Neurospora crassa OR74A: one gene and its partner. The protein of the gene in region 1 interacts with the protein of each later gene in a pairwise test. Links are inferred from orthologs where the notes say so. Each region holds a gene or a part of one and is shown in the gene's direction. Other genes may lie near its edges.

Region 1 (16,916 bases):
ATAGAGCAAACATCGCAAACAACCGATTAAGCGACCGAGGGAGGAAATGACAATCGTAAGTCAAAACCGTATCCAATTTCTGACAGATCCAAAGGACGATTTCGATATTCGCTTGGCGGATTGGCGGCATCCAATGGGCATCCAATGGGTAGGAATTGGCAGGCCATTGGCAGATATTGGCAGGTATTGGCAGTTGTTGGCAGTCTCGGCAGACTGGTGTGTGTCTTGGAACGTCCTGCACTTGGTTCCGTATTGCTGTTGCTCGCCGAAGATGCTTGCTCCATCGTCATTGCTCAGAATAACCAACAACTTGCTCTTCCAGCAATGGAAGCCCTCAAACCTGATTCTACAGGTCGACGGCGAGTGCGGTGGAAGAGATGCAACTTCAAACTGTGTCTGAACAAGAATCTAGACGACACAAGAAATTGCAAAGTTCGTCTAAACCGGTTCAGATCCGTTAAACAATCCTGTTGCCGGGTGAGTGAAAGCCACCGCTAAACCCTCTTCCCTGAATTTCGCAAAGGCCATTGATCTGGGCTGATGCCATTTCGCTGACTGTCAAAGTCTCCGAAAGAACCCACAACCTGTGAGCATGAGAATTATCCCATGAGCACAAACTCAATTACGTGATCTTCTGGATGAATTGGGGATACCGTATGATTTCGTCGAGAAGCAGGGTTACAGCTGTGCCATTTGCCTCTACAGCCACGTACATACAGCCGAACGTAGCCGGCAGACCTTTAGCCCCACAGAATCCGCACAATCATGCCTCATCTGTAACCCGCGGTTGACGAGATCATACGGCATGCTGTGCGCAATCAGGGCGGGATGTCTTTTGGTTGTGGTGCTGAAGAGCCTTGATTCACAAGGATGGTTTGTTTCTGTTGGTTGTTATGTGGCGACTTCGCATTGTGAGCTGACACAACTTAACATTGGCGGTTGTAGTTTATAAGGATCGTGGTACTCTGTCGAGGATGTCATTTACAGAGCTGGCTAACCCTGCATACCTAGACTGAACCTCATCATGTATGTAAGCAGTGGTAGGTCTATGACTATGAATCGCCTGTTCTTTTGTATGCATTTTTGACCGGAGAGTATGCACAGCATCTCTGTCATCAGCTGTATGCCGAAGACTTTGGACTGATGTTTCTGGAAGCCAACGGGCTTTGTAGAGGCTCACACCGCGACATTACATACTTCTGAGCATATCAATCAGACGATGTCGATGTGCCCCTGCAAGGTATAGGCGCGTCGATGTTGGGCAATCACGATTCCACAATCGGATGACCAGTTCAGAGCGCGACAAGAGAGTAGAAGAGATGGGTAGAAAATGAGAAAAGGGCTCGTTCGACCCTCATGGACGCTGGGTACCATTATCATGACGACTTGATTTTGTAAAGTCGGAAGCACCAAATATCATTTCTTGATCGTTCAGTCGTCAGTCTCTGATTGTTGTAACAACCTCGACAGCCCTGACCACAAGAAGACAAGGACCCAAAGCGCGCCAAGGCATCATGGTACTCCACAGTGTTCATGACCTGGATCCCACCGAAGGGACAGTGCGGCTGTACCGATTCGAGAATTCCCCAGTTGTCCTGGTCCCGAAGCCATCCAACGACCCAAACGATCCCCTGTTTTGGAGCCGGGGCAAGAAGAGGGTCGCTTTCCTATCGGTATGTTGGTTCGCTTTCTTAACCAACTTCGGCATCGGAGGCTTGACACCTGCCTTCTATCTCCTCTCCCTGGAATTCGGAAAGACACAAGCAGAGACCGGCGCCCTGCTGCTATGGCCCGTCCTCACACTCGGCGCCTCCAACTTCTTCTGGGTACCCATTGCCAACTATTGGGGCAAACGGCCAGTGTTATTTTTCGCGTGCGGGCTGCTCTGCGCGTGCTCCATGTGGGGAGCCGTGGCTGAAACGTTCGAGTCCTTACTATCGTCCCTCATCGTTGCAGCGTTTGCTGGATCGTCGACAGAAACCCTTGGAGCGAGCATGTTAAACGACCTGTACTTCTTGCACGAACGGGGTTCTGTGATGAGTACCTATATGACCTTCCTCTCGGGAGGGAACACCATCGGTCCACTCATTTGTGGCTTCATCGTGTCGAAGTACAGTTGGAGATGGCATAAGTGGCTGACCTTCATTCTGGCTGTCCCCAACTTCTTGGCGGTTGCTTTCCTGGTGCCCGAGACAACTTATGTCCGCTACAGCCTAAGGGCAGTTGACTTCGACTCGGGAACCAGTCGAGGACCGACTCCAAGGCTAGTCAGTCGCTCGAATGCGGAAAAGGGGCTCGGGTTCGGAAATGCTCAGGGAGCTCGTTCACATCTGGGCGACACTGATGAGAGCGACGCCGGTGTGAATCTTCCAAAGAAGTGCTGGGCAGAAGAGATTGGACTATGGCCTGTAGTCTCTCGTGACACCCCCCTCTGGCGGTTGTTCATCCGACCCTTCCCCTTGTGGTTATATCCTTGCGTCATTTTTGCCTTTCTTGCATATGCAATTTCGCTGGAGATGACGGTGGCCGTGAACATCCTAAATCCCTTTGTGTTTCAGGCACCGCCGTATAACTGGTCGCCCATGGTCAACGGTTTGATCAACATCCCAGGACTCATTGGTAACCTCTTCGGCAGCGTATTGGGCGGCTGGGCGGTTGACAAGTTTTGCGACTGGAAGACCAGGCGCAACAATGGCGTTTACGAACCAGAGAATCGACTGTGGCTCTGCATCGTACCTCTGATCATCAGCGGCTCGGGCTGCTTGGTGTTCGGATATGGCATTGAAAAGGCAATGGGCTGGGTCAGCCTGTTCTTTGGATATGGTATGATGTCGGTAGCATTGACGGCGGTGCCGACCATCACCATGGCCTATGTCTCGGACTGTCTGCTTCCACTAAACTCGGATGCTCTTATGCTTGTCAATGGTAAGAAGCAGCATGAGTCCCTCCTGGTTGAGTAACCTTGCTAATCACGGCACGATGTCAATAGGAACAAAGCATATTGTAAGCTTCTTCTTCGCGGCGTCGGTCTTGATCTGGGTCCAGATGGTGGGTTATGTTGAGGCTTTCGGAACAACGGCAGGCGTATTTGCGCTCATAGTGGGCGGAGGTATGGCAGTGTTGATTCCCTTTGGTGCGAGAATCAGGCACCGTCAAGCAACCTGGCGTATCATCCTGTGATGAGCGAAAGTTGTAAGAAGATGAAGAGGTAGTCAAGCCCAGATTGTCGGTGGTTGGATCATGGGATACACTGCGGCAAGGAGTTCCTTCAGTCAATGCATTTATCGTCCATTGTGGGCATCGATATCCTTCGGGTTGCACGTTGAGTTTCGCAGAAGGAATTTGATGAGCAGATAGATTTAGGGTGGGGGGAAAAGGGAAATCAAGCAGGAGACAATGGGTGAGCTAGATGACGTGTACACGATGTAGTGTGGTGACTCGATCCGCGAGAGTTGCTTTGTCAAAGAAAATTGGCGGTTGGAAGGTTGAAGGATGAGAAAAATGATAAGGTTGCAGAAGACCTGCGAAACTGGGATGGCCTGCGTGGTCCCGCAAGGCTGATCAGAAAGTGGAACGTGCTCCACTGAAGAGGACGCTTACATCGAGCATTCCGTGGATTATGCAACACTTCGGATTCCGTCACGCGTAAGAAGTCAGGGAATATTTACTTTGACAATTTGATATAGAAATACAAGACTTGGCTCATCAATGCTCGCAGTTTTACTTCATGTTGATCATGACTCTTTACTTATCGGGAAGAGGACATCTGACGAATCAACTTCCTGGAACTCTGAGCAGAAGTCACCGTCTTGGCATAACATGAGTGACCAATCACAAAACGCTTTATTCTGCTCTTTCATGCAAGGCTGAGAAAGGCGGGGCATTTCTTCTGGGAAATTTCGTGATCGACCAGTGCAACTCGGTTTGGCAAACCGACCTGCAGTTGGCCATACGCCACACCTTCTCTAAATCCAATCAACAGACCCATTTCAGACTGGGCATTGACGCTCACAACCAGCCAGGGCATTGTCTTTGTCCCGTCACGAGTCCCTTTTTTTCTTCCAAATTGTTGCGTCTCGGTCACCAGAACCACCACACGAAATTCCTAATCACCACCAGCACACGATGGCCGACCGCGACAAGATCCAGATCCTCAAGGATGCGCTTTACGAGGCGGCGAGGGACCACGGTTCCGATCAGCGTCTCTTCACGCAGCGGGACCTGTTGGACATGCAGGTCATCCCCCAAGACAATATCGGGTTGCTCATGCAGGTGATCCAAATTCTCTGCGATGAGAAGCTCTTTGTCGGCAACACCACGGCATCGGGGCTGTCGTGGAGATGGCGAAGCCGGGAGGATGCAAAGAAGTGCGTTACTACCTTTCTTTTTTCTTTTTAGGACACAACCGAGCACACCAACTAACCTCCCCTTCCTCCCAAAAGGTACACCTCCCTCCCCAACTCCGAAATAATGATGGTATACGCCATGGTCGACGAAGCCGGGGCCGACGGCATCTGGAACCGGACCATCAAGAACAAGCTCAACATGGCCGACTCGCTTATGAAGCATTGCATCAAGTATCTCGAGCAAAAGGGCTACATCGCCAGCATGAAGAACGTCGAGCACCCCAACAAGAAGATGTACATCAAGGCGAACCTACGTCCCTCCGATCGCGCCACAGGTGGCCCCTGGTTTACTGAGGGCGAGCTCGACACGGCCTTCATCAACGAGCTACAGGAAATTGTGTTTGACTTTATCAAGCAGAAATCGACATATACTTCCCACGGCGGCGGTGCTGGAGTACCAGGAGTAGGAGCACAAGGAGGAGGAGCACAGCAGCGTGAAAAGAATCCCAAGAAGGGCGTGGTTCAGGGGACCATTCCCCACTCGGAGGATATTTCCAAGGGGACGAAGCGCAGCGCGGGCGAGATTTCCAACGACGACACGGCGGCACCGGCACCGGCCAAGAAGACCAGGCCCGGCAAGCCGCAATTGCTGCCTCTCCCGGCCGGTTACAAGTCGTACCCGACTGTGTCGGACATTGCAAAGTTCATCCACCACGCCGGCATCACGAATAATACGACGTTGAGCGAGGCGGATATCCAGCAGTTGGTGGATGTGCTATACTACGATGGCTTAGTAGAGCCTGTCAAGGTCAATGGGCGCAAGGGGTACCGTGTGACGCGCATCCCCAAACAGGATCCGAGGACGTGCAATCAACGACGCCTCGACCATGATCCAACCAAAGGAGGCATTGTTACCTCATTTATGGGAGTTGAGCCGAGTGCAAGTGGCCTTATGGAGGCGCCTTGTGGGCGGTGCCCTGTCTATGATATGTGCGAGGAAGGCGGACCTGTCAGCCCCAGCAACTGCGTCTATTTCAGACGGTGGCTGGATGGTGACGAGGTACAGGAACAAGTCATTTCGATCTGATCGACTCGAATGTGTTTGTGTCTCCGTTTAGAAGACGTTGCATGGTCTCTATCACAACTGCATTAACGGCGTAAAAAAAAAGAAGGCAAGGGTAATTTGGTTTCATCTAGGCGTTGGAGGTAATCTGTTTAGCATTCAATGTGTTGGCGATAACATTCACATGACCTGCAAACTGTCTAGGAAAAGACATCAGTTTACGTGATCTCATCAACCATCAGTTTGCGTAATCACATCAACCATCAAAGCGACAGTGATGACGATGCAGTGAAGAAGGGTGGGTGTGCAGCGCAGGAAATCCATTTTGATGGGCTATCTAGATATTATAGCAGCACATTCATATGAATATTATGGTACCGCGACTCCAATCCCTAAAACCCTCGACAATGTCCACAAGGGAATTTAGAGAGCGCCGCAGTCGACAATGGTGGGCTTCTTGGAGTAACGAATAGCACCGCTGCTGGAGCCAGTAGCCTCAAGGGCCTTGACGACCTTCATGGACTCATCGTCAGCGACCTCGCCGAAGACGACGTGGCGGCCATCGAGCCAGCTGGTGGGGACAGTGGTGACGAAGAACTGGGAGCCGTTGGTGTTGGGGCCGGCGTTGGCCATGGAGAGAAGACCAGGGCGGACGTGCTTCTTGGCGAAGTTCTCATCGGCGAACTTCTCGCCGTAGATGGACTTGCCACCAGTGCCCTGTTCAGAGAGGTTAGGTCTTTATTTTCCCATGTTCGATAGCTTGTTGGGCGGACATGGACTTACGTTACCACGGGTGAAGTCACCACCCTGGAGCATGAACTCGGGGATAATGCGGTGGAAAGAAGAGCCCTTGTAGCCGAAGCCGTTCTGGCCAGTGCAGAGCTCCTTGAAGTTGCGGGCGGTCTTGGGGACAACGTCGTCGTAGAGGGTGAAGTTAATGCGGCCAGACTGAGCTGCATTGGGAGTTAGACATCCGATGGGCATGACATGACAGTTGACGGGCGGGGCCGGGGGGAGGGCGGTGAGGCTGAGTGGTGCGGGCGTTATGATTCAGGGGCACCGGTATGGAGGGGTAGTTCAGGAGCTTGCGGGCTGCGGCAACACCGGGACGACGCCGTGCTCATTGCGAACAACGACAGACGTCCAGGTGAAGTCCCAGCGACCGTCGCAAGTTTCCTGAGCCTGATTGATGAAGACAAAGCAGATGAGGAGAGTAGACTTACCCTTGATTTCGCTGGTGGGCTTGTTGTTGGGGCCGAGGACGGGACCCTCCCACTCGAGATCGAAGAAACTAAAGCATGCAGGTCAGTCGGTGTCCCTGAAGCTACGGGTAGGTAGGCGCAGCTCCCATGTTTGCGCGGACCTGGAGAAGCGGCTGGACTTACACCTTGGACATGATGCTGGATGTTTGCGAAAAAGCTCTGGCGCAGGAGAAAGTTGCAGTGGGCTTGAGAGATGACGAGAAAGTCGAGGAGACGAGAGAACCTGTTGTCTTAAGGACAGAGAAATGGCGGGGTCCAAACATTTTCACTAAAATGGAAAGGAGGGGTCAGCCAATCCGAGAAGTGGGGGGCGGAGAAGGTACGTAGCTGCTCGCCACGTGATTGATTGTTGCGACTCGAGCTGTCGGCCTGTCGCCACGCCGCCTGTTTCGGTCTCGTTTGCCAGTGCGGCGGGAGACGACGAAACAGCAGGTCAGCTTGACAACGTGGAGTGGTATGAGCCTCTGCAAGTGTCATCTTTGGCGCATGTGGGCTTCGGATTGGTTCGTTGGCTCAGGAACACCAGTACGAACAAGTAAACAGCTGCCATCTGGTGTTGGCGCTTCCCCCCCGAGTCTCCAAGGTCCCGTCGGCCCTGACGCTGACGGCAATGACAATCAAAACTGCCACCACCCGTGTGTGTATAGTTGGCAGCTAAAGCGCTGGCAAGAGCTATCCAAAGACATCCGGGCCAAAGGACCGTAGACCCATGGCTCCATCATATGGCTTGTTGGGTCTTCATAGCGTTGCGATTGCCTCTTTCATTTGGAGTCCCCCTCTGTCAATGCAGCCATTGACGACATTGCGGAGCCATGGACGATACCCCAAGCCGAACAAGAGGGATGGACGGCATTAACGACCTTGATGGCCATGTCTGGGGTAGGGACCAAAAGGCGGTGGTGGTATTGTCAAACTAACAAACCTCACCCCTCATCTCGAGCGTGGATGGAAAAAAGGACATTCGAATTGAATCTGATGCCAAGAAATCCCGGGAATGGAAGCTCTCAGAGCTCTGCCACAGATAGAGCTTGGAGCTTTGGGCAAGCTCCCAGCCGGCAGGGAGAGCTCCTCTAGACAGAAAAGGCTCAAGAAGAACATGGCAACAAAAGTAAAAATGATAACGTACCGGTTGTGGAAGATGAAATCCTGGATGATTGTAGGATGATAATGAAGCTAAAAGTACAAGGTAAAGTCCGAACAAACGAACGATGGAAATCTGCTACACGGCGATGGATGCACAACAAAGACCTGAGACGAGAGGGAGAACGGAGTCGGGTCGGGTGTTTAACAATTTTTACTCCATCCAAAATGCATGGAAGCGAGCTCCGGCGGCCGAGCGTCCCCTCCCGCCGCCCCGCGTTGTCGGCCGGCCCGGCAATTACAAGCAGAATTCTTGCCTGAAAACTCAGGCTTCAAAGAGCTGAGACGCTCGTGCCAAGCTTTCAAAGTCTTGGCAGACCTCCTGGGTTCCACTGGCTTCTTGGTGTCAGGGTGTTGGGTCAAGCGCAGGGGTCGGCCTTGGACGGCGTCAGTTGAGGTCAGCGCTCAGCGGCACCCTGACGCTAGGCCACCTCAATGTCCATCTGATCCCGACAAGACCGTGAAACGTCGCCCTGAAAGCGATCAGCCCGAACAAAAACCACCAAGTCGCCACAGCATCCCGCCCGTCTGGCAATCATCACCGCGAGGCTCAGATTGGATCTAGAGAAGAATTACCTTAGCCCATCAGAACAATTCCCAGCAACTCCGGCGATAGACACGTTTACGCAATGGATTTCAATAGCCTCAAGGATACCGTGTCCAACCTGACACTCTACGACATCAAGGCTGGCGTACGAAAGGTTCAAAATGGTAGGTGACCACCTAGTCCAGAACCAAGACTCCCTCATGATTTCGTGTTCAGGGTGCTGACAATGGCTCCAACCAGCTGTCATGAACTATACCGAGATGGAGTCCAAGGTATGCCCGTATCCACGCGCCACACTGGCACCATTCTCTTGCGCCCTTCGCCATATACTTGATCCCAGACAAGAGACCATGGAACGGGAGCTGACAGCGAACCCAGGTGCGCGAGGCCACCAACAATGAACCTTGGGGTGCATCGTCGACTTTGATGCAAGAGATCGCCGATGGCACCTTCAACTAGTACGTTCTCGAGAACTGCTCGCTTGTATACGAACGCGGCTAACTTGCGTTTCCCTCCTTGTTCTTAGCCAAACACTCAACGAAATCATGCCCATGATTTACCGCCGTTTCACAGAAAAGTCCGCCGAAGAATGGCGCCAGATCTACAAGGCCCTTCAACTACTAGAGTACCTGATTAAGCACGGTTCCGAACGAGTGGTGGACGATGCTCGGTCGCATCTTACCCTCCTCAAGATGCTGCGCCAGTTCCATTTTATCGACCAGAACGGCAAAGACCAGGGTATCAACGTCCGCAACCGCGCCAAGGAACTCGCCGAGCTCCTCAGCGATGTCGAGCGTATCCGAGCAGAGCGCAAGAAGGCCCGCGCAAACAAGGGCAAGTTCACGGGCATTTCGGGTGGAATGAGCTTCTCCAGCGGGAGCAGCGGACGTTATGGCGGTTTCGGCAACACTTCGTATGGCGGTAGCAGCAGTGGTGGCGGTGGTAGCAGCTCTACCTACGGTGGCTATTCTGGAGGAGTTTATGGCGACGGAGGTGTTTTTGGTGGCCAGCCTTCCAACAACGACTACCGCGGGACCCAGGCACGGGCAGAGCAGTTTGAGGAATACGATGCAGGTGATTTGGACGCTGAGGCGTCGTCTCGTACCGCGCCAAGGACACCACGATCCACGACAGAAAGAGCCGGGGTCAAGAAAACAACAGCACCCGCCGAGCCGCCCAAGAAAAAGGAGCCCGAGATCGACTTGTTTTCCTTCGACGAGCCCGCAGCGCCATCCATCCCGACCGCGCCCCTCGCTGCCGCACCTTCCAACGGCTCTGGGCTTGCGGCTCTAGCCGGCGGCGCCAAAGACGACGACGACGAGTTCGATGATTTCCAGTCTGCAGCCCCCGCCACGCAGCCTGCTTCTGCAATTTCTCCCCCAATCGCCCCCCTCTCTACTGGCACACAGTTTGTTGCCCCGCAACCAGTTTCGGCGCCTCAGCAGGCCAACCTTAGCGGCATGGTTGCCCTCTCCTCCATCTCTCCTCCTCCCAGCTCCACGGCGACTCCTGCTGCCAACTTCTCGGCTTTCTCCACGCCCCTTTCGCCCGTCTCCCAGGCTCCCAAGCCAACTGGCTTCCAAGCCGGTCAGCCAAACTACTTTTCCCCGGTACAGCTGCAGACCCAGTCCACCGGGTCCTCGCTTTCAGGAACCAAGGCAACCGGTTCAGCTGCCTCCAAGCCAGCCGCTGGCGGTGACGCCTTCGGTGCGCTGTGGTCGCAGGCTAGTGCTGGAATCAAGAAGAGCACGCCTACCACCAAGGGTCCGGCTATCGGACAACTGGCCAAAGAGAAGAGTAGTGCTGGTATTTGGGGAACTCCTGCGCCCTCCACTCCGACCAGCGGTAGCAGGCCCACCACTGGCGGCAACCACGGGTTGGACGATCTGCTCGGTTAATTACCTGACTGGGTGTGAGGAGTTTTCCAAGGAGTATTTAGAACCGCTGTCGTCTACTTACGGAAGCGGGATCCTTGGAGTAGATCAAGGGTGTGCAGTTACACAAAGAGGAGATGAGCAGTTAAACGATTTATATTCCACGTAATGTTATTGGAGGTAGGGGTGGGTATCTTGCAGCGCCTCTCGTCTGCAACAAAATTTCACGTCTATTTATGCTGCATTCGGCTTCTTTGTGTTTGTCACGTTTTGTTTCCGCGTGCGAGTCCCTCAAAGAGTGAACTGATCCGTAACTTAAGTCCCCGTATACACTCATCCTCACCTTCACAATTCCAGAAGACCCAAGCCGGCTGTTGAGTCGCTCATGGTCAAGTAACCCGATGTTGCGGTCGATCTGTTGTTTTATCTTGTGGAATTCGCATAGCTTCCATCCCTGATGTTCGTTTGATGGAACTTTTACCACTGAAGCTCCTTGCCTTCTTTATTGGCTTCACTTCTGGCCCGTTATGAACTGGTGAACCCCCTCAACCCCCCCCCCCCCCCCCCCCCCCCCCCCCCTTTTCCGTCTGTCTTTATTTTTCTGGCATATCAGCCTCCTCGAATGGTTTGAACAACCGTAAGGCTGGAGCATCATCCCAACATGCAGTCCATCAACATGAGCTAGAATACTTCATCCAATAGTGAGTTCATGGATCGCAAAGTATGTGTCCAGTGACTCAAGCCTCCGCACTCGCCCTCGGCTCGGTATGACGGCGCAAGGCCAGCCTCGAACACCCTCGACCCACCGATCACAACCTCAACAGTCGATCAGTCATTACCACCAAAATGATTAATGACTACGAGCACCAAAGCGCACACTCATGGCCAATGCGTCGAAACGTCTGTTGCCGTGAGCAACACGGAAAAATCACAGATCAGTGGCTTTGATCTTGGAACCGTGCTCAACATCTATTTAATTCTCTCTACCATGCAGACGCTCTACTTATTTTTTTCTGGTCCAATTCTTTCCCTCGAGTTTCCCATTCTGCGACATAAATAATGCAGCCGCCTGGATGCGTGCCATATTAATTCAAGTCAATTTCTTTACAAACTGACCTACATGATTGATAGCCCGTCAGGAACGGGAACCGCATATCAAGGATTATTGCTCTTTGACTATAATCTCTCTACACTCACTGACGACATTTCTTTTGGGGACTTTTCAAGCCCGTGAGATCAACATGGGCTCCTCTTCCCCTGGCACGACGCCTATCCGGAACTTTGAGTCCCTTACTCCCCAATGCTTCTATAGCTATGTCTTTCTTTTTTCCCGTTTCTTATTGATTATAGCGCTTTCCACCATGGCCGGGATAGCTGGCAGCTTGCTTGGTAACATGACTAAAGCAGGTGAATCACCAGCCACAAGCCTCGTGGCTCTCATGATCCTGGTATGTTCAACTCCTTTGTTTCTTTCTAACCCTTGAGACGCTAACGAAATCTACAGACATCTGCTTCACTCCTCTGGTGCCTCTTCTCCCTGTCCGGCTACTCCCGTCGCCACTTTCCCTACAAAGTCACTATCGTCACCGACCTAATTTTCCTCATTGCCTTTGGTGTTTTCTCGGTCCTCCTCGGCCTTCCCATGCACGATGGCGGTACAAAGTGCCCTCGAGTCAAAGCAGAGGGTGGCTTTGTCCTCCGAGCCGGCCCATTGGGGGTCCTGAATTTCTCTAGCGAACCAAACGATCGTGTGTCATGCACGAAAATCTATCTTTTCTGGGTCCTTATGCTGGTTGACTGCGCGTCATTCGTCCTAAGCGCTGCCTCGGTCGGGGTTATCGCGTCTGAGGAGACGCAGTTCAACAAAGCACTATTGTGCGCAAGGGCAATGAGTGGTCCGGTGGGTGACATCGACTATCATCGCCGTCCGTCCGAGATCTCTGTGGCGGGATTGGAGGAGGTTGTTTCTGGAGCCGAGCAGCAGTTCCGGCCACGGCCGAATATGCACGTCAGAAAACGGAGTCTAGATTCCGGGAACGTAGCTCATGGCGAAGGCAGGAGCGGCGGTGGTACCTACCACCAAGCGGACACAGTATCTGGAAACCCATATCGGGTCGACACGACAAGTAGACTCGGTACGGGCTCAAGCCGGTACGACTGCTCCCCAAGAGTCGACAGCTCGCTTGGTTCCGGTTCCGACCACGAAGCGACTTCAGGACGCTCACTTGGCAACCCAGTGCTCCAAAGAGGGAGCGACCTGATCAACACCTACAACCGCAGTTAGGGACGCGGCGGGGGTGGGGGCGCATGGACATCGTCAAGTCGGGAAGGAGCAGCAGGACCAGGGGAGCAGCAGAGTCCCAACCAGAGCCAGCAACAACACTGCCGAGCAGAAGGACTTGCAAACAATCGGGAACTTGTCACCGAACCACCACCCAAGCCAGTTTCCATTACCGTTCTCCAAGCGCGCAGTGACGCTCTGGACCAGTTGGAAGGCCGATCATCGGCATCCATTGATTTGGCTGATGCTCCTTATTACCGAGACCTGTATGCCCACTTCGCTCAACCGAGGAAGCCTTCCGGCCCCGGCCCCGGCCCCGGCGCCGTACCCGATAATGACAGCCGGGCAACACCTTTCACCAACACCAACCGGTACAATCCACAAGAGCAAACACACAGGAAGTGGAAAAAACAACGCCCCTCCGGGATCATATTCCTACCGTCCAGCTCCGACATTCCGTCCAGCCCGATCCACCATCCCCATTCCGGTCCCGATCCTGATCCGGTGTCGACGGTCAAACCCAACATCTACACCTCCAACCACAACTCAAAAACCACCCAAATCCACCCAACCCAAGCACGAACCCGATCACAGACGCAAACACGCAGACAACACGACTCCTACACCTCCTCCGTCGACTCCAGCCCCTCCAACTACGACGACACCCGGTTCAACCACCGTGACCTTCCCTCGCCCGTTGGTCTAGACCCTCCACCTCGCTCTTCTCTAGGCGCCATCGAGTTGAAGTACAGCCTACCGCCGAGACCAAGGACGACTTTGCGACTGGTGGACCAAGAAACCTTGAATAAGTTGGAGGGCATAAATGAGGAGAAGGAGGAGGTTGGGAGTGCCATTGTGCACATGGACGGGTGGCATGGGCATGGGGATGCGGTTATTGAGTTGAATGAGATTCCTATTTTACCTGTACCTGCTGTATCGCCGGGTAGGAGGGCACCGGGGACACAGCTAGATGGGCGGACAGAGAGAAAACAACAAGTGTGGGAATGGGAGTGGGGGCAACGATCGAAACAACAAGAAGTAGAACAGACACAGAGCGCGGGAAGAAGGGCTGCTGGAGAGGCTAGAGGGGCAAGGAGTACACGATGGCCTGCTGCTGTCTGGGGTGTTGGTTTAGGTTCAGTACATGGACGACGCGATGATGATAATGATGATGAGCAGTGCGATACAAGTAGTAAGCATCGTGGCGGCGTTTTCAAAGCTAGGTCAACCAGGTTGTTCTCGACTATTGGAGCGTGGTTGAATGGTATTGATGGTAATGATATTAGGAATGATGGAACTTGCCAGCGGGATGGCTATGAACTTGAACTGCGGTCGGAGCATGGGAGAGGAGGTCACCCGTGGGATATGGTTTAGAAATAGGGCACTGATGATCTGGAGGTAGACAAACAGAGAGAGTGAAAAGCTCAGCGCATGCATGCTCTTTGTTCACTAATACATGGCCTTCATCGTACGGATTTTTTTTCCCATCACCATATCTCCACTGCCTTGACCTGTGAATTCCTCCCCTCTTCACCCTCCCCCTCTTCCAGGTTCCTACGTGCCCAAATCAGCTTTCAACAACGTCGTGAGTCCAACTTATCGCCCATTTCGCCACCGACTCGTTCCAACCTCCGATGCACTTCGACCTTTTTTAATTGATCTATACTACTGATGGTAGTAGTATTATCCTTTGCCAATGTACTGTATTGCGATCCTTTTCCTGTGAACCCTAATACAGTAATATGTCACCCAGCTCCTGATTATCCCTCCCGCTCTTTCCATCATTTCCATTTGACAACGGGCTCGAAGAATTTCACCTAAGTCACGGCTATGACTTGCTAAATGTATTTTCTACCCTCTCGTGATTGGAAAAAAAAAAAAAGTCAATCAGAGCAGCATGGCTGGTACACAACGAAGACAAGTTGAGACAGGTAAGGAGTATCACCTTTTGCCTTGACCTCGTGACAAGGATGGGTTACTTGTTCTGCATTAAACTAGTGTATTCAGCTAAAGTCTCAACGCTACGTAGGCAGAGGTAGAGTCACGGATTAGATACGAGCTCTCGGTCGGTATTAAAATGTCAGTCAGTCAGTGCACCGAGAGCTATACGATAACTGCCCAGGGCACCACCCTCCGTGCGCTCTTTTAGAAACTCGAGGAAAATCAGTTGGTGACGGCCCGCTGATGGCAGGGACTGGACCTCTTGATTGTTGAGAAGCCCTTCCGTAGTAAGGCAAGTAAAACTTCTGTCAATGTTCTTTTTGCTCCATCGCGTACATCTTTTTCTCTGTTTGTAATGAAGTGGTTATGCCCCAGCGTTGATTTCTACGAGAGAATTGTCCGGACAGTACCTAAACACTCTTACGCGGTCAATTCCAGGCTGAAAAGAGTGGAAGCAAAACGAGTGATGGTGTCTTCGTTGTCTTTCGGCACCTTTCTCGGCGTCGTTTCGGCGTTGTGTACATTTGCTCTTTTTGTGAAAAAGGCTGTGATACTTATAGTATGTCGCTGGGTTTCGCTGATTAGCATTGATTTCTGATGATATTTTGTTGTTGGCTACCATAGTAGCGGCTTGCTGCTCAAAGGTAATCAGGACTATGATTGATCGGTACGTACCTATACTTCATGTAATCTGTTGCTCAATGCTGCATCCGTTAAAAAACACCAATCCGCTGTCATATCCCAATGCCTAATCCAACATCCAGCCATCTCGTTCGATTCGTTCTGTATTCTTCCGCAATGGTGAATTGGGGTGAAGGCATGCTGATAGCCATAGACGGCCCCATGGGACAACACGGTCCGCCTTTTAGCCCATCACAGCCTCTCTTTAACCAAGACCGGAATTGAAGATCGGGTGGAGGAATAACAAACCTTCCATCTGGCCGACTTCCATTACATTCAACCGATAAACCCTCGTCTCAAGAACCTGGTGTGGACACCTCTGAAAAGAGAAGGCAGATTTGGGCAGCCACGCAGTTCTTCTTGAATTCCCGGGTCTCCAAACTTCCACCGTGCCAAATAGAAAAGAATGCTCCCAAACACGGCAACGGTGACGGATACTAGAAGGTAGAACCCAAGGCCGACGTCAAGGTTGGCGTCAGTGTCCACGTAAGTGAGTTCGAATGTGTCCAAATCCATATTGAGGAATGCTTGGAGGACGTAGTCGACAGCTTGGTGATAGGCGGTGTCCTCACGACAAGCGAAATCCAGTACGCTGGTTATTGCGAAGATAATAAAAGAGAAAGTAACCGATGCGGCGCGCATCGTTAGCCTGACTGTGCGAATGAAGGACTTTATCGGGAAGAACTGATGGGGCCAGTTAGTGTGAGCATATTCTGAGGAGTCGTAGGTGAGGCTCCATACCATGGTGCGGCCTTGAGAACCGGGCTCTCCTACATCATGCTGTAGTGAAGTGTTGGGTGAAATTGAGGAATGCTGATAATTTCATATGCTGCGTTATGTTGTGTGTTGAATACGTGACTGTCGTATACTGATACAGCGCGGGGATAATTTGCATTCAAGGCGGTCATAGAAAAGAAGAAAAAAAAAAAAGAAAAAAAAAAGAAATCTCATCAAACGCAGAACGGACTTCGCGTTGCTCTCCCGGGCCTCGCGAGTGTCCTGTAGCCGGACTGGTACAAAAATCAAGCAGGCGGGGTGTTTGGGCGGCATATCGGCCAGCCAGACAGCCAACACTCTCTTCCTGCCTAAAACCCAAGCTGGCACTTCCTCAATAATGCCGGTACCGTCTGCTCCTATTGCCATAGTTGTAGTACCCTGACCGTGACCCCCCATAATAGTACGTGCTGGTATCTCGTACTTGGCTAATCCCCAACTGGTCAGCAACATTCACGTATCCTTCCGAGGTTGGCCTCCCCTTCTTGATCATCTTGATCAAGTCATCATCGCCTTCCCAGACACTCCTGCAGTACGGGCAAGTGACGTCGGCCTTGGATCCACCAGCCTGCTTCCGTTTTGTAGCCGCCCACATCTCGAAGCACTCCTTGTGAACGTTCTGGCCGCATGCCGCCCGGCACCAAACAATTTCCTCGGGCTTGAGTACCTCCATCTCGTTGAAACAGATGGGGCAATCCCCTTCAATCGGCTTCCTCCTCTTGTCTCCTTCGCCTGTTGTGAGACTGTCACCGTCCCCTTCCACGATCGGAGGGGCATTGCTAAAGATGTCTTGGAGCTCGCAGCTTAGCAGTGCCAGTTGGTAGACATATTCGTACTTGGCACGCAGTACTCGGGCCAGTACGTAAATGATGTGCTTGCACTGCTCGTTCTTCTCACCCATGGGGCAGGTGCATGTCGGCTGTCGGGCAATTGTCACGGTGTAGATATTGCCTGTCGAACCTGCAATTTCCACCTCCTCTTCGAAGCCTTCCAAGCTGTCCCATACG
Region 2 (16,113 bases), about 2.7 Mb from region 1:
CCGGTCCATGGTAAACGGCTCGCTGATGAATGCCGCCGCATCGCCCACCGGCTCCTCCGGCGCGTGGGCAAACCCGGCCTTCTGCAACTTGGCAATGATCTCTTCCGCCCTTGTCAAGTCAAGCTTGCCTGAGGCCAGGTTGTTGCCGCCCCTGATGACCTTGTTGCCGCCAATCTCCACCAGCGTGACCGTCTTGGTGTCGCCGGGCTCGAACCGCACGGAAGTGCCGGCGGGAATGTCCAGCCGATACCCGTACGCCCGCGCCCTGTCGAACTCCAGCTGCGGATTCGTCTCGATGAAGTGGTAGTGGCTACCGACTTGAATCGGACGGTCTCCCTTGCTGGTCACACGAAGACGGATGCGTTTCCGGCCCTCGTTCAACTTGACCTTGGCCTCCTTGACGCAAACCACGGCGCCGGGCTGCTTGCTGGCTTCGTAGGCGGCGGCAGGAGGCAAGGGAAAAACGGAGTCGTCATTGGGCGGGATCGGCAGGAAGCTGCCGTACAGGGCGCGAGCGAGGTCACCGTCGTCGCTGCTGATGGGGTTGTGCACGGTGACCAGGTACGTTCCGGAAGGGAAAGTGCCCTCGACTTGAATCTCGTGCAGGGTCGAGGTCACTTCGGGCAAGACGTGGCGGCGGCCGAGCATGGTGGCGCCCAGTGCCATGAGGTCGGCAACGGTGTGGTTGCCATCGCGTATGAGCTCTTGGAGGTTGTTGGCGATGAGCGCCTGGGTTGGTGAGTGGGTTGTGTTATAGTGAGGCGAAAGTGAGGAGGAAAAGGATCTGGAAGAGAGAAACTTACAGTGGCTTCGGAATGGTTCAGTTTTATACCTCTTGCTAGACGTCTTTGAGCTAGGAATCCTAGCTGAGAGATGGCGAGCTTATCGAGCTGTCAAGGGGAAAGCAAGACACGATTTTGTCAATAGGTTAGTGATGCGGACTTGCTGCTATTTGGGATGAATCCTTCTTATGAAGTCGTCACACTCCGGATAGAGTCCAGCCTAGTCACACAGGGTAAAACAGTGCCATCTTGCGCTTTTATACACACAATGTTGATCGATGTCCGTAACTCCTTCGTTTGTTTGAACCGTGATCTGAGGTGTCTTGGTCTCCTTGTAAAACGCAGATGTGAAGGATCAACGGGGGCACACAACAAAACAACTACCACTAACCTCTTTGGGAATCAGATGCATCTTGTTCCTGTCGATGTTGACGAGAGTTTCGATCCAAGTTCGACAATAAACGAGGTCAGGAAAAAGAGAACAGTGACGTCCTCTGCCCCAATGACACTAACATCGAGGACTGCTAGTAGTTTTAACCCCCGCGTGGTTCTGTACCAGCTGCTTATCAGTCCGCTTCCATCCAACGTTCTAGATGCGGCCGCGGTAAAAGACACCGACTGCGGTGGGATGTTGTCCCAGAGATTGCTGTACCCCGCACACTTTTACTGATAAGGCGGATATTGTTTGTAACAGCTCAGTACATGTAACCTTTTCGTTGTTTACAACTCCAAAGGGCACCAGCAACGATGATAGGGGTAGTCACACTTGCACTGACAAAGAAAAAGCAAAACACCATCTGTACCACGAGTAACATGATGGATTGAGGATATTGCGTATGCGAATTTCCTCCTTGGATTTTGTTTCCAAGAAACTCATCTATACAGCAAGCTAATGTGTGAAATTTGAACTCCAAACTCCCCCGACTCCCAAACTACCCCTGAGATATGAAAGTACATGTAGAACGCTTCGAGGAATACTCTCATCCTGCTCCAACATATGTAACCTGCCATTTGCGACCTTGACATTGTCTACCAACCAAGACCAGGAATACGTCTATTGTACGCCTTTGCCTCCAACTCCGGCAACTCCTCTTTCCCCCTAGCCAACGCCTCCCGCACACGCTCATTCTCGACATCCCTTATCTTATTCCTCGCCGATTCCAGCCTTTCAACTCCCCTATCAATAGTTTCGACATGTACATATAGCGGTATCTCAAGACCAGCATCCCTCGCCACCTCCGGCTCTCCAACCCGGTCTCTTAGCCCGTTCAGGCTGACCTGAATGTTCTGCAGCTCAACAATGAGTTCGCTGACCTGTTTCACGGCTTCCGAGCGCTGGTCCTCAACCTTCCTAAGCAGCGCCAGCTGGTTGTTGTAGCTCTTGCGGTTCTCGGATTTGATGCCGATGTAGGTCCACAATTCCCAAAAGACCTCCTCCTTCTTTGCCTGTATGTGTTCCTGAGTTCTAGTCACGAAATCGTATATGACTTCGAGGTGGTCTTCCGCCCTCTGCAACGTAATCAGGACGGCTTGCGCTTCCCTTATCAGGTTGGCAATTTTGTCCGAGACGCGGATCGTGTGGTCGATGTACTGGTCCAGAAGCTTGCGCTCCGTGTAGGTGGATGGCTGAAAGGGGGAGAAGACCCAGTCCCACCACTCGCCCAAGATGCCGCGGTGCTTCATGTCATCTGATAGTTCATCGATGTACCGAGATGTCCATCGGTTGACGCTGATTATGGAATCTATTGTTGATCCCACGCGGGTGTTGAACCTTTGAAGATCCCAAGTTGCCGAGCTAGCGGCGTCGATGTACCCGTCAAATTCAAGTATCAGTTGTTCTTTGCCGTGAAGCTGGCTGTAGCGAACCATGGTACGCAGGTCACGGATGGCTAGCTCGGAGCGCTTCATCTCCAAAGGCAGCGAAGCACTTTCGGCAGCTTTTTCTAGAACCCCCTCAAAGCGATCCTGAATCTCTATCACAGGGTCGAACTGGATGTGCGTGTTTGTTTTCGCGGACATATCGAGACAGAATGGCAGGTTGAGCCATTTTGCGCCTGGTACACGACATACTGGTGATAAGGCCGTATAGAGGGATAATGTCGCCATGTTCTGGACCATCGAAAGGAGTCCAAAGATGAGATACACAGCTGCCAGAATGGCGATGGGTTTTTGCGCATATTTGAACGCAAGGCCAACGACTCCCAAGGCCCAAGAAAAAGTGTTGAAAACGGCATCCGGTACCGAGTCGAAAAATCGGTCAAAAAACCCCTGAATCTCTGGCGCCTGTTGTCGTTTTGATGTCCCAAGTCTAGACCTCCTCATTTCTTCGACCCTCTCCTCAATATCCGCATTGACTTCGGTCTCCTCCCCTGACGAATGATGATCCTTACGGAAGTCTGTTGATGGGTGACGGCCGGAACGATGTGTTTGTCGGTGGCGTAGACCAGGCAGCGAAGGCGGAAACTGTCGCACTGTCATGGACGACCGTGCACTGGATCGTCGGCTGTCGACAAGTCTGCTATCTACATCGACCATGGGCATGTAAAACTCCTGTGGTGATGGCTGGATCCGGTGTCTCATGTTTTCGCGAGAAGCGTGCCGGACAGATTGTGGAATTGAAGGCCGGAAGGGAGTTCTCATGATGACTTGATCGTCGTCCTCGGCTCTGTGTAGGAAACTCTCGAGACTCTCGTCCTGTGACCCTCCTATACTGAATGGCTGAGATCCGTCCAAACTGAAGGGCTGGCTCCCCTCTATATGCGAGTGATCGCTTTGGCTGGACAGGATCATATCGTTGCCATCATAGTCGTCGGGCATCAATGAGGTGTCGAAGCTATCATTCTCGCCTCCCTCGACCATGCGCCACGAACTCGATACATTGGGCGGCTGCCCTGGTGGTTGACGTCCCGACATGGTTACATAAACACCATGGAATGAGCTCGTGGGGAAGCTATGATGAAAGTTGCGAAGTCAAGGTTTTATAGAGATGGGATCGCGATAACATGGAGCGTAAAGATCCAAGACGTCGGGATTGTTGGTTGGTGTGTGTGCACTTAGGCAACAGTGCTTCTTGTAGGTGTCCTGGTTTGATTTGATTGTTGACAGCGGGGGGACTCGGCCAATTCTTAATGGCAACTGATAACTGGTTCTTTGTTTACCGCGAAGTCGACTCCAGGCTTCAAGTCGCTCAAAAGCAAGGGGCGCATAGGCTAATACCGTGTAGAGGAGTCACGATAAGGCACCGATACACGGGGATAAGTGGTGAAAACGGAACTATCAGCTGAGGCGCGTGAGATCAGAGGTAACTGTTCTGCGGGTACAGGATGTATAGAAGAACAGGGGAGATGGGTATGTTCTTTGATAGTCCAGCAAATAGCCCTGGAGAGATGAGGCTGAGTGAGATGTCGTTAAACCAAGCAACTGGAATGCGACGGAAATGGACTAGGTGAAGGTTAAACTGTAGGGTAGGCGGAGAAGAGGAGGGAGAAGGCAACCAAACGTCAAGTCAAGGTGGTGTAAGGTACCGATGCACGCTGCTACAGTGTGTGTATGTGCCGCAGCGCATAAGTATCCTGTCACAGGACGGGATGATGTGAAGAAAGAAAGAGTTCTGGTGACCTTGCTTTGTATCGTCGACTTCGGTCGGTCACAGAGAGCAGCAGGCAGGACGGTGACTCGGTGAACATTGAAGTGGTGAGTGACGTCGAGAAGAATCACGATTCACGACGGCCAGCACCGCGTGTCTCACTTACATATAAAGGTAGGTACCTATCACCCCAAGTCACCTGCCCCCGCCCGGCAGACAGGTGCCCCACTGAGGTGTGTTGACGGTAAACGGCCCCGAGCTGCCCGGGGTTGAGGTTGGAGGGCTGGCCCAGTGCAGTGGTGTCCACAATGGAAGCTCCCACCCAGGGCGGGGACCCCTTGCAGCGGCAGGGGCACATGGGATGAGCCGATCGCTGTCGCCAAGACAAGCGCGACAAAGAAGCCAGCCGCCATTCTGTCTGGAAAAGTCGGGTTTCCCGTGATCACACCCAATTCCAACACCTCTTAACGACGACCGCACATCCTGACAGTGTGGAGAGGCGACGGGAGGATGCTCTCTCCACGGCTTACAAGATGGACTTCGCGGGCTCTTTTGACCCGAGCTAGGGTACCGCTCGCTCGTCCTGCCATCTCCCAAGTCCAGGTGCGCCATCGGCTGTGCTCGTCTTGCGCCAGCGCGAACCCCGTCCCCACGAAGCCAGCAGCGCCCGACCATCGCGATCTCGGAACACAACAGGAGCTGTTCATGACCTCGATCTACAGCCCTGGATCGCCCATCTTCCTGCCCAATGGCGCCCGCATCTTCAACCGTCTTGTCGAATACCTCCGCAAGCAATACGTTCACTATGGCTTTCAGGAAGTCATTACCCCGACCATCTACAAGAAGGCGCTCTGGGCCAAGTCGGGCCATCTCGAGAACTACGCCGACGACATGTTTACCGTCACGAGCACATCCCCCTCGCGCGCCGATGTTACCGAGGCCGGCGAAGCCGACGAGTACGGACTCAAACCCATGAACTGCCCTGGCCATTGTCTGATATTCGCGGCGCAAAAACGGAGCTATCGCGACCTCCCCATTCGCTACGCCGACTTTAGCCCCCTCCACCGTAACGAAATTTCGGGCGCATTGAGTGGCCTTACCCGTGTTCGCAGATTTCACCAAGACGACGGCCATATTTTCTGTCGACCGAATCAGATCGAGGACGAAATCAGCAAGACCCTCGAATTCATTCGACGCGTATACAAGGACTTCCGCCTGGGATCGTATCGTTTGAAGCTTTCCACGAGACCCGAAAACCATATCGGTAGTCTGGAGGATTGGGAGCATGCAGAAGGATCCTTGAAACGAGCGCTGGACAATTCGGGAGAGCCATGGACCTTGAACGAGGGAGATGGTGCCTTTTACGGGCCCAAGATCGATGTAATCCTCAAGGACTCGGACGGAAAGGAACATCAGACGGCCACCATCCAGCTCGACTTCCAGCTGCCCAAGCGGTTCGAGCTCGAGTATCAGGCGCCAGCTCCCGAACTGGAGGCCAAGGGTGAGACAACTACGGACCCCGAGCTCCTTGCTGTCTCCGGACCCGTGAGACCTGTTATGATCCACCGGGCTGTCCTAGGCTCGGCGGAGCGCATGTTCGCTTTGCTGATTGAGCACTATAATGGCAAATGGCCATTTTGGCTGAACCCCAGACAGGGCATTGTCCTCACAGTAAACGACAGTGAGCCGGTGTTACAATTCGCGCGCAATACGCAGAAGGTGCTGCTGGGTACAGACTCTGCAGATGTTCACGTATCCCCGTCGGGCCTTGCTGTCGACCTCGATGACAGTGCGCGCAGTCTGTCGCTCAAGATTCGCGAGGCCAAGACCAAGGGTTATGGTATGATCATCGTGGTTGGCCCCAAGGATATTGCCAATGGCACTGTCACGGTTGATGCTACCGGCGGTCTTCAGACAGGCGACAAGCCGGCGCAGAAGAACCTCGTCATGACGCCTGAGGAGCTGCTGCAATTCATGAAGACCAAGGTAGATGCATACGAATGAACGATTGCCTGCCGTTCTGCGTAAGCTACCACTTTGTCTCCGCGTCGTACGAGGTCTCCTACTTTGTCTCTCGGTATTCTCAGTCGTGCAATCCGTCCAATATCTCAAAAATTGTGACTTGCTTGTTTTGCTTTGTAGTGCCGGTCAGACAAGGCTGATCACAGCACGTTGAGCAAGTGCCGGCGATGACGCAGTGCCGCCGCTAGTGTATGTACATGGGAAAGTGAAGTGGGGCTACCATTTCTTCCTCCAGTTGGCTTTTGTTATCTCCCCTGTCGTGCACCACTTCCAGAGCTTCCTGCGGTTCCTTGACACAAGACGATCGCCGGGCACCTTCCAGTCCCCCCAGCACTTGAAGCAGCGCTAGGGAACAGCGGCCCTGAGCCCCTCCCCCACCGGCACCAACGGGACCGGGAGCTCTCCACCGCTGCCAGGGGCACCATACCCGTTCCAACTCCTATCCCATTACATTGAGGTTGCTACCTCTACCTACAACTTTTGGCAAAACATCGTCCTAGTTACTTTCCTATAACCCAAGCAGATAACCAGCCATGGATCCCACTGCTCCTGAACCCGAGAACCCACCGGCTTACATCGCCGCAGCCCGCCGGCATGGAATACCACTCCGGCAGAGCGCCCCCATCAAACGGGGCCCTATGCCCCTTCAGCTTCCCATCCTTGATCATCTACGTACCAAGAGGGTGATTTTGGCGTCGGCATCGCCTCGACGAAAAGCTCTCCTCAACCAGGTAAGTCATCATCTTTATACTACGGTCTACTCAAGTCTAACAAGTTTACCAAACAGCTTGGCTTGCACGACGTCGAAATATTCCCATCAGACAAGCCCGAAGACGTCGAAAAGGGCAAGATTACTCCCGAAGAATATGTTGCCGAGACGGCCCGCCGCAAAATCCTGCACGTGTACGAGCAGGCCCTCAGGCAACAAGAAGAAGACGAGCAGAACAAGAACGTAGAGAGGCCTGCCGATCCAGCCCTTGTCATCTCCGCCGACACCGTCATCGCTACACGCTCCGGTCGGATCCTCGAGAAGCCGCGCGACGAGCAGGACCACATCCGCATGCTGAAACACCTTCGCGACACGCGTGTGCACCGTGTGCTGACGGCTGTGTGCGTGCTCGCCCCAAAGGACAACGCAGCCCATCCGGGATATGAGCTAGAGACGCACGTGGAAGACACCGAGGTTTACTTTGCGCAGGCTCGTGACGGACTGCCCGATGACGTAATTGAGGCCTACGTCAAGACGCGCGAGGGTGCGGATAAGGCTGGCGGCTATGCCATCCAGGGAATCGGAGGTATGGTGCTGATTGACAAGATTGAGGGTAGCGTGGACAATGTTGTTGGGTTGCCGGTTAGGAAAACCTTGCAGTTGGCAGAGAAGGTGATCTTCAAGCAGGGCATCGAAGATGACGATATTGGCAGCGATGAGGAGGATGATGATGAAGAACCCTATCAAGACTGATGCAGGGGTACCAACTGGTTGAAGCTGCCGATAAACACAGGGACGGGAGCCCTGGCCACGGTAGTTCTACTAACTAATTGACCGGGGGTGACGGAATGAAGGGCCAGGTGCCCATACAGAGCTTAGAACGTCAACATACGATAGACAAGAATAATGATGGGACTAGAATGCCCTTTCAGCAAGAAGTCTGTGAAGTGAAAACTCAATTTCATGGCATATGTTGACTTATACATCGAGCCGTGGGTCTACAACCTCGAACCCTTCTCGCTCTCAAGATGCCCCTGAATGCCCTCAATCACACCCTCCGCCACACCCCAAGACAACTCATACCCTCTCCCTCCCAACCCATAGGCATGCATCACGAAACCAGCCCCATCCACCACCTCCCCCTCCAGCCTCAACCCCCCTTTCCTCGTCGGCCTCCTCCCCACGATATCCCTCACCGGCGTCAACCGCGTCTTCCCATCTGCCAATATCCTCGGATACGTCCCCTCAAACGCCCTCAACAACCTCTCCCTTACCTCCGGATCCGGCTTCGGATCCCAATTATCTGGCTCCTTGGTGCCGCCGATAATGGTGCCCGCCTTGAACCCTCTGGGTACACAAAACGTCCAGGTCCCATCCGCATTCTGTCTCGTCACCGTCGCATCGCACGGTTCCTGGACCAAGCACGTCTGTCCCCGCGTGGGGAACACCATCTCGTCGTCACCTAATCCGATGCCGGTGGCGTTCACCACCGCGTCCGCTGGGGGGATTGTCGCTCCGAATTCTTGGACCGAGTCGGAGAATAACTGGAACACTTCCGCAACAGAACGCACGTCCCGCTTAAACACCTTCCCGCCCCTGGCAATGATCTGCCCCAAAAGGAACAAGCAGTATTGCATCGGATTCACGCACCACGTGTCGTACTCGCAGCCCCATTGAACCTTGTCATCGGGGAACTCGTGAGTCTCCAGCACGCGAAAGTGGCCGGGTAGTCCTAGCTCTTGTGACGCCCGCTGAGGGGTCAGGGAGGTGTACTCGGGCCCCGGAGATTCGAGGTATTCGATTCCCTTGAGGAAGGTGATGCCCGCCTGTTGGTCCTGGCCCTGGCTCTGGAAAAGTTGCATGCGGTGGAAGGTGGAGAGGGAAAAGGCGTGTTCGCGGATGCGGAGGGCGTGCTCGGCTTGTTGGGTGGGGGTTAAAGGAGTAGAGGAGGAGGAGGAGGAGGGTGGGAAGGGGGGCACCCAGCGGTTGTGGGCGCCGCCCCAGGGGGAGGTGAAGTTGATTTGGGATCGGGGATCGATGGATTCAAAGGGGGCAGGAAGGTCTTTGGCGAGGATGGTGGTGGCGTAGTTGGCTTCGAGGAGGGCGAGGGCGGAGGACAGGCCGATTACGCCGGCGCTTGGATTTTGGGAGTCATGTTAGATTATCCAGGGCAGAGCAATGATTTGCTATTCATGATGCATCAGATGTCATACTAACCCGATAACGACGACGTGCCCCTTGGGTTCAGACATGATGATGCTAAATAATCTCCGTGGACTCGTGGTGTAGGACACTATTGAATGTCTTGGGGCGAAGCTCACAATCAGAGGAGGCGGCGAGGTTCGAGTAGAAGAAGGTCTGAGGGAATATGTCGTGGTGGTTGGAAACCTCAAATGCATCAGTGGATTGACTAATTCACACGACGATGCTTGAGTCTTGTAAGTCGTGAAGGTATTGCCAATATCAAAAATAACAAGGATTCTTGGGGACCTTTTATACTATTCAGATACGTCAACGGTTGATATCAACACAAGGCTCCGTCTTCGCAATCATCGCCAACGATAATCAACCGTGTCGCTCATGGGACGATAAGCCGCACACATATATGCAGAGCACGATTAGAATCAGGCACACGACGCCAAGAGGAGCTAGAAAACGTGGAATGACCATTAAAGGCAGACTCGGGAAGCATTCCGGAAATGGAAGGAATGCGGTGCGGTCAGCCGTCCATAGAGGTATGTACAGTTCGATACGGGTTTGTGTCTTAGCTCAAGATCTCAGGTTAACTTCCCTGAGCGTTGTCATTTCTGGCCGATTCGTTGTAATCTTCGATTAAAGTGAGATTGGGGTTGTGAATATGCTTCTTCCGGAAGTTTAGATAGGTACCGTTGTGGATCTTCTCTAATGCCTTTCCGGTTCCTACCTAGCTACTCATCCAACTTCACGGTATGGGAATATTCGAAATCAAAATTGATCTCGTCCAGTGTACCGAGATAGTTACCGAGCTAACAAACAAACCAGCACTAGATTGTTTATAGAGGTAGCCTGACGGACAAAGTCCGGTCTAAGAGCGCGGCTGCCCCGTGCCGGCTCGAAGACCGCCCGGAATTCCCCACTTTGGGCCGAACTGTACCAAAGGATTGGCAGTTCTCCGAAAATCGACCCCGGAGGCGACTGGAAAGGGTTGCTGTTTCTTCTAAGTTCTGCGAAAAAGAAAAGGGAGAGAGAAGGGGAAGAGGGGAGACAATCATGTCTGGAATGCCACAGGTAGACATCATGTATCTCCAATGGAAAATCTGGAAGATATAAGACCTCAAGATCGTTCATCGCTCTTTTATACTAGGTCACCCGTCTGCGACTATAATAGTAAAATAAGGGCTAATCATGGCAACGTCTTTTGAACTCTTCATTCTTTTGGTTCAGTTATTCTCTCAGAATCCAACGTAAATTCTCGATTTACTCTTTACCAAATTTCTTCTCACTTGAACAAATGGTCAAACAGTTTGCGTCAGGCAACTAGTCCAGTCTACGACCTAAATAAAGAGAAGCTCAGTCAGCAACTACCAAGCAGTCCATGCAATCAGCCAACTATGTACATTCGCTTTGAGATCCAACAGAGTGGGAAAATATTCGTGGAATGTCGCATCAAAGATCTTGCATTCAAATCAGTGTCAAAACTCACACCCCAAAACCGTACACTATGCCCACGCTGAGTGGATCTTCGTTCGCGAATTCCAAAGACGGGACTGCGAGGATAGAGAATGGAAGGATGGTCAAGATATGTATAGAAGCATGTTTTTTCTTCTTCTACTCCTTCTTCTATCCACCCATGCAAACGAATCGGTAGGTAGGCAACAACAGCTCACCGCAACCCATGAAGAAGTTGTGCATGGTGCCCACGCACGACATCGCGAAACTAACAGATGTAACTGTATCCGGGAGTCTCTCGTGCCGGTACCATAATAGAAATTCATGAGGTTGCCTCATTGACTTGTGCGGGGGGGGGGGGGGGGGGGGGAGAGTAACGGCGCGGATCTATGTATGTGATGAAAAAAAAAAAAAAAAAAAAAAAAAAAAGACGAGTAACAGCCGCTTATGACTCGCAGGTGATTCTCGTTCCCGGTAAAGAGCGACGCATCTCGTCTGTCTCCGTGGATCTCCGTACCGGCGAAGGAGAACTAAATCCAGGACGGAATTGATCAAGCCGCCCACGGAGCTCGTGTTCATCGATATGTACTTGAGAATAGCCTTTGGGTTTATACAGAACCGGAGAAACCTAGTTGAACTTTTGTAAGGATCCGTCTCACCTTGGAAATCAGCCCAGGAGTGTAGAAGCAAAAAAGGGGGTTTTCTGTGCAGACTGTGAGCTTATCCAGCCCTCGGCCGATGTACAAAGGGTCATCATTCCACGGGACGGATATTCCTTGATTTGCACAACGCCGCTCGGAAATGAAAATGGTCTTTATCACCGTACCCATTCGACAGCGATAACGCGGTTATTCCGTTCGTGGCGGCAAAGGCGGCCACCTGAAGCGACCTTGTCAACGCGGCGGCCGTTCCTGATGGCCATCCATTAGTACATTAGTTATAGGTAACACGAGGGCAAAATTGCGCTTCAACGACCCTATCGGCAGCTGATAAGTCGTGATCGCAATCAGACAGCCGCCACATGTGTCTGCGATAGCTGAATCGCGCCGAGGAGGTTTTGGGGCGGAGATCACTGAAATTTGACTATGTTGAACAGCAACCCAAGTGACATTGTCGGGTCACATACCCTCGGGACGGGAGCAAGTAGTATGATTTGATGACACACTTGCATCTGTATACCAGAGCCTGGACCTGATCTTCATCATCTTAATCATCTTAACCGTAGATGAAGACACCATCAGTACCTTGCCGCATCGTCCAAAGCATGACACTTTCACAGCAATCAACGACTGCCAGATGTAGTAAATGCCAAGACTTCCTACGAAAGAACTCAATCAGGATGACGGCCGAGACAGGAATGCAACTGCGCGTAGAGGTACGCAAAGAGCGGGCAGTCAGCGCAGTGAAGAAAAGACCAAACTTTCTTGGCGGCATTGGAAAAGGTTGTCGATATGGAAACCACTTCCGCCAGCCAGAGGACGGTACACACTCTTGTGAAATGTGATGTCGCTGCTCGCTCAAGTGCTGCCCGATGCGACTTTGACAAAGGGCGTCTAGATGCAGCGTGATCCGGTCGCTGATTGGTCACTCACCCCCAAGTCCGTCTCATCGGAGCCAGGGGTCCAAGAGGGTCTCACCACCCCAGTAACCCCAGGCAACTCCCCAGAATGGATCAGAACTGATCCTAGCAGCTATTTTGGGCGGCTATTCCTTTCTATCTTTCACCTAGTTTCCCGCCGTACAGTTGCTTCCGACCACTCACACAGCTCTCCTGTCTGCCCACCCAACGCAAGTGGAAGTTCAACAACCACTCCCACCACTGGTCTCTTCTCAGTCCACGGTGCCCCCCCCCCGTCCCGTTGGAGTCGTTGCCCACATCGAAAGCCAGGAACCAAGCGCTTAGAATACATCGCGATTGGAAGGATCTCACGCACTCGGAAGGGATGGGGCCAGCCAGGGCAGACCACACAGCAATGAGCTGCACCTCCTCGGCGCTGCTGCTCTTCCTCCACCCTGATCAGTGACCTTTTCTTGGGTGGTAGCGTCGGTCTTTATGCCGGTCTGTGAGCCCTAGTTCGCCCGGGTCTAAGAGAATGCGTGTAGCTTGGGAGCGAGAGCGGGAAGAGCACTGTGTAAGGCGTATGATTGCGGACACCCACGGCAGGGCAAGACCACATGGTAGAACAAATATGTATTGAGGGGGCCCAGTCTTCCTGTGCCGATGACAAGATCTTCTTGTCGTGTTCCGACGGATTGGTTCTTCTATCAACCTTATTCCCGCCTCGCCGGTCCTGTCCCTGCTCTCTGCTCCCGGGAGCCGTTTGATGCCATCGTCCGGATATCTGTTGACAGATCCTTGGGTTTGATTTATTCGTTTTATTTGATCTGCGATCATGTCTCGGTAGCAGGTCGACTGCCATTTCCTTGTGATACCTCTATTGACCTTTCGTGGGTCGGTCATTGAGTTCAACGAAGACGAAGAGGAAAGAAGATCGACGATTCCTACGAATAACGACCACTACTACGCCTGGAATAACCTCCGTTGAATCATTAGGATCGCACTATCAGATATGTCAACAACGACAACAACTCAGGCAGGAGGCGGGTTCTCTCTCTTCCCCAACACCAACGTCACACCAAGACCACCTTCAAGGCCGTCGAGAGCTGCGACACCTCAAGGTCGACCTTCGACATCAACAGAACCATCATCGTCCCGGGAGGCAGGAAGGCAATCGCCAATTGGACGGGTAGTACTACGGGAAGGGAAGCAAAGGTCGGCTTCAAACTCCAACAACCCTTGGCAGTCAGCGCTAGACTCGGCTCGACAGCAGCGGGAACATCGAGAGCAACCTCAGGAGCAACCGCAGCGACCACCACTAGTTGAGAACATGTCATCGGATCCAATCGTCGAAACCAGTGTTGCTGCGCCCATCTCTGAAGCAGACGCGCCTCCACGCTGTGAGACGACACTGTCCGAGGCAGAGACGCTGGTCGGGCAGCAAAGTAGGGGAGCTCAAAGCTCGTTCGCCAACCCACCGATTGCATATACTCCTGGACCTTTGAACACAGCAACGGTAGCAGCTCCTACCTCCATCCCCGAACCACCACAACCACCACAACCACCACAACCACCACAACCACCACAACCACCACAGCCAGCTGCCATTCGATCGATATTCCCACGATATAACCCCGAACTGCCCCTAGATCGTCAGGACTACTACCCTACCCAGGCCAGTCCTACACATATTCCCCAGTCCGCCATCAGCAGACCCATGTACTCAGCCCGTGACACCGATCAGCAAAGTGAAGTTGGCACCAATGCTGGTACAAATGGTCCCAGTCATCCCAGAAATCGGCCGGTAGCCAACCCGTCCGTGACCTCTGGATCCGCCAACCAACGGTGGCCTGTAACGCGCAGCCATGAGCCGCCAGTGATACCGACGGTGAACACCACCGAGGAACTTCGTGGTCTTTGGAAAGCCGCCAACGGATGGCGAGCCACGCAGCTCGAAGGCCGGAAATACTGCCTGAAAATGGCGTCGGACGCCTACGCGCCCGTCTACACGCTCTCCTCATCCTCCAATCAGCCCTTCTACTGCCTGCGGGTCGACCCGACCTCTGCGTCCGCCCTGGTCTCGCTCTCGCGCTACGACCCCAACAAGACCTTCAAGGGTGACAAGTCCACCAGCGCGGCGGTGGGAATCTCCGCCGCCTCGGCCGTGGCCTCTTCTGCTTCTTCCTCCACCTCTTCGGCGTCCTCCTCGCCTATTCCGAGCGCCCGCGCCTCGTCCAGCACGCCCTCCCCCCGTCCTTCATCCGTCTTCTCCCGCAACCCAAACGGCTCCGGCGGGGCGTTGGGCGGCGCCAGCAGCAAGAGCACCAAGACCAAGAAACACGACGCGAAGCACTGGCAAGAAGTAATCTCCACCACCCTCGAGGCCGCCACGCGCAAGCAGCCGCCCAACGACGGGTTAGTCGCACAGCTATGGCCCCTCACAGCGGCGCGCCTGGTGTCGGACCGGGCCACGACCGACGCGGCGACGGTGGCGGCAGCCGAGAATGAGTGCGGCCGGCTGGTATGGGACTCGGATTCGGGCAACCACTACCTGGTGCACGCGGCCCTGGCGATGCCATTCTGCATCACGGTCGAGCGCAACGCGGCCTATAGCCGCACCGAGTACACGCTCGAGCACATCGAGTCGCCCAACCACCTGGGCCGGCTGACGCGGGATGGGACGGGCCAGGGATGGCTGGAGATTGATACGGCGATTGCGAGCCATGTCGAGGCAGTGTACCTGATCGATGTGGCCATTGCTGCACTGGTGCTGGTGGCGCATGCTGATGAGCAGTTTACGCGCGTGGAGACTTTTGAGCCGCCACCGTCGTTGTTGCGGGGTGCTGGTGGTGGTGGTGGTGCCGGCGTTGGAGGAAGCCAGAGGTCGAGCTTGGCGGAGTCCTTGTCGTCTGTGCTGAGAAGGAATACCTCGGATGAGAAGAACGGCAATAAGGATGATAAGAAGAAGAGGAAGAAGAGGGAGAAGGACTTGGTCAAGGGGATCAAGACCCGGGTCGAGCAGTTTGAGCTCGATATCGAGGCACAGGTGAATGCGGATATGAAGGCCAAGAACGAGAAGATGCCGGGTTGCACAAGGGGGCTTATTGCCGTCTTGAAGTTTGCTTTTAAGGCGATTATCTGGTGTGCGACATTGGTGTTTAAGGTGTTTATGCTGCTCATAAAAGGATGCGGTAAGTGCAGGATCTCCCGAAGAAGTGCCCCTTGCCATGATGAGACGGGTTTGACTAACGAGATATGCATTGGTGTAGGAAAGGGAGCACGCTGAAATTATATCCTGAATCAGAAAAGGATGATAGCAACCCAAGCAACTTGGCAATACCCCAACAAGGACACAATGAAACTGACAGCTGGAGGTCCAGAGAAAAATCATGCTGATGGAGCTCATGAAAAGGTGTATAATTTTTGCAGGCGTTTTGATGATGGGTCGGGTATTATTGTGGTTGGTATTTTGCATCATCATCATCAACCGTACAAACAGCAGTAGCTATGGGAGCTACCTAGCTGTCTTTATAGACGGATTTGAATGAAACCCTCAGAAGGGACTATTTGTGTTGATGTCGTCAATTCGCTCCTTGAAAAAAATTGAACCCAGTGAAAAATCGGAAACAGGAAGAAATAGCCCAACAGTAAGATAAGGGAACCGAGAGAGAGGGGAAAAAAAACGGAAACCTTCTGTTGAGTCCGTCACCTTTTTCTCTCCTTGACCTTGATCCTCCTGCCGGATTTTGTGATGCCGCCAGACGTCCGTGTCTTGGCCATTTTGGCCTGTGTGATCTCCAGCTCCGTC

The links.
Region 2: the proteins of NCU00725 (region 1) and NCU03130 interact in a two-hybrid assay, tested with the Saccharomyces cerevisiae proteins (2 studies listed by BioGRID). The link is inferred for Neurospora crassa OR74A from reciprocal best matches to the Saccharomyces cerevisiae genes ENT3 and YOR111W.

What each region holds. Positions count from the first base shown.
Region 1 is NC_026501.1:7,398,398-7,415,313, forward strand, and holds NCU00725 (epsin-3), read left to right. Parts: upstream 1-8,215; 5' UTR 8,216-8,440; coding exon 8,441-8,522; intron 8,523-8,598; coding exon 8,599-8,630; intron 8,631-8,736; coding exon 8,737-8,816; intron 8,817-8,884; coding exon 8,885-10,256; 3' UTR 10,257-10,552; downstream 10,553-16,916. Other genes in the region: NCU00728 (hypothetical protein), read left to right, coding at 1,515-2,960; NCU00727 (hypothetical protein), read left to right, coding at 4,126-4,367, 4,443-5,433; csr-1 (peptidyl-prolyl cis-trans isomerase), read right to left, coding at 5,833-6,126, 6,193-6,362, 6,633-6,700, 6,795-6,934; NCU00724 (hypothetical protein), read left to right, coding at 11,594-11,680, 11,737-12,511, 12,626-13,705, 13,800-13,915; NCU00723 (Znf1p), read right to left, coding at 16,244-16,916. UniProt on the Saccharomyces cerevisiae protein: Involved in the recruitment of clathrin to the Golgi network and endosomes to form clathrin coated vesicles. Plays a role in the trafficking of clathrin between the Golgi network and endosomes.
Region 2 is NC_026501.1:4,659,252-4,675,364, forward strand, and holds NCU03130 (hypothetical protein), read left to right. Parts: upstream 1-6,854; 5' UTR 6,855-6,923; coding exon 6,924-7,121; intron 7,122-7,177; coding exon 7,178-7,852; 3' UTR 7,853-8,035; downstream 8,036-16,113. Other genes in the region: NCU03127 (urease Ure), read right to left, coding at 1-729, 804-890, 1,174-1,194; NCU03128 (hypothetical protein), read right to left, coding at 1,812-3,695; NCU03129 (threonyl-tRNA synthetase), read left to right, coding at 4,879-6,372; NCU03131 (FAD dependent oxidoreductase superfamily protein), read right to left, coding at 8,098-9,235, 9,317-9,498; NCU03132 (hypothetical protein), read left to right, coding at 13,318-15,496, 15,575-15,591; NCU03133 (hypothetical protein), read right to left, coding at 16,011-16,113. UniProt on the Saccharomyces cerevisiae protein: Nucleoside triphosphate pyrophosphatase that hydrolyzes dTTP and UTP. Can also hydrolyze the modified nucleotides 5-methyl-UTP (m(5)UTP) and pseudo-UTP. Has weak activity with CTP.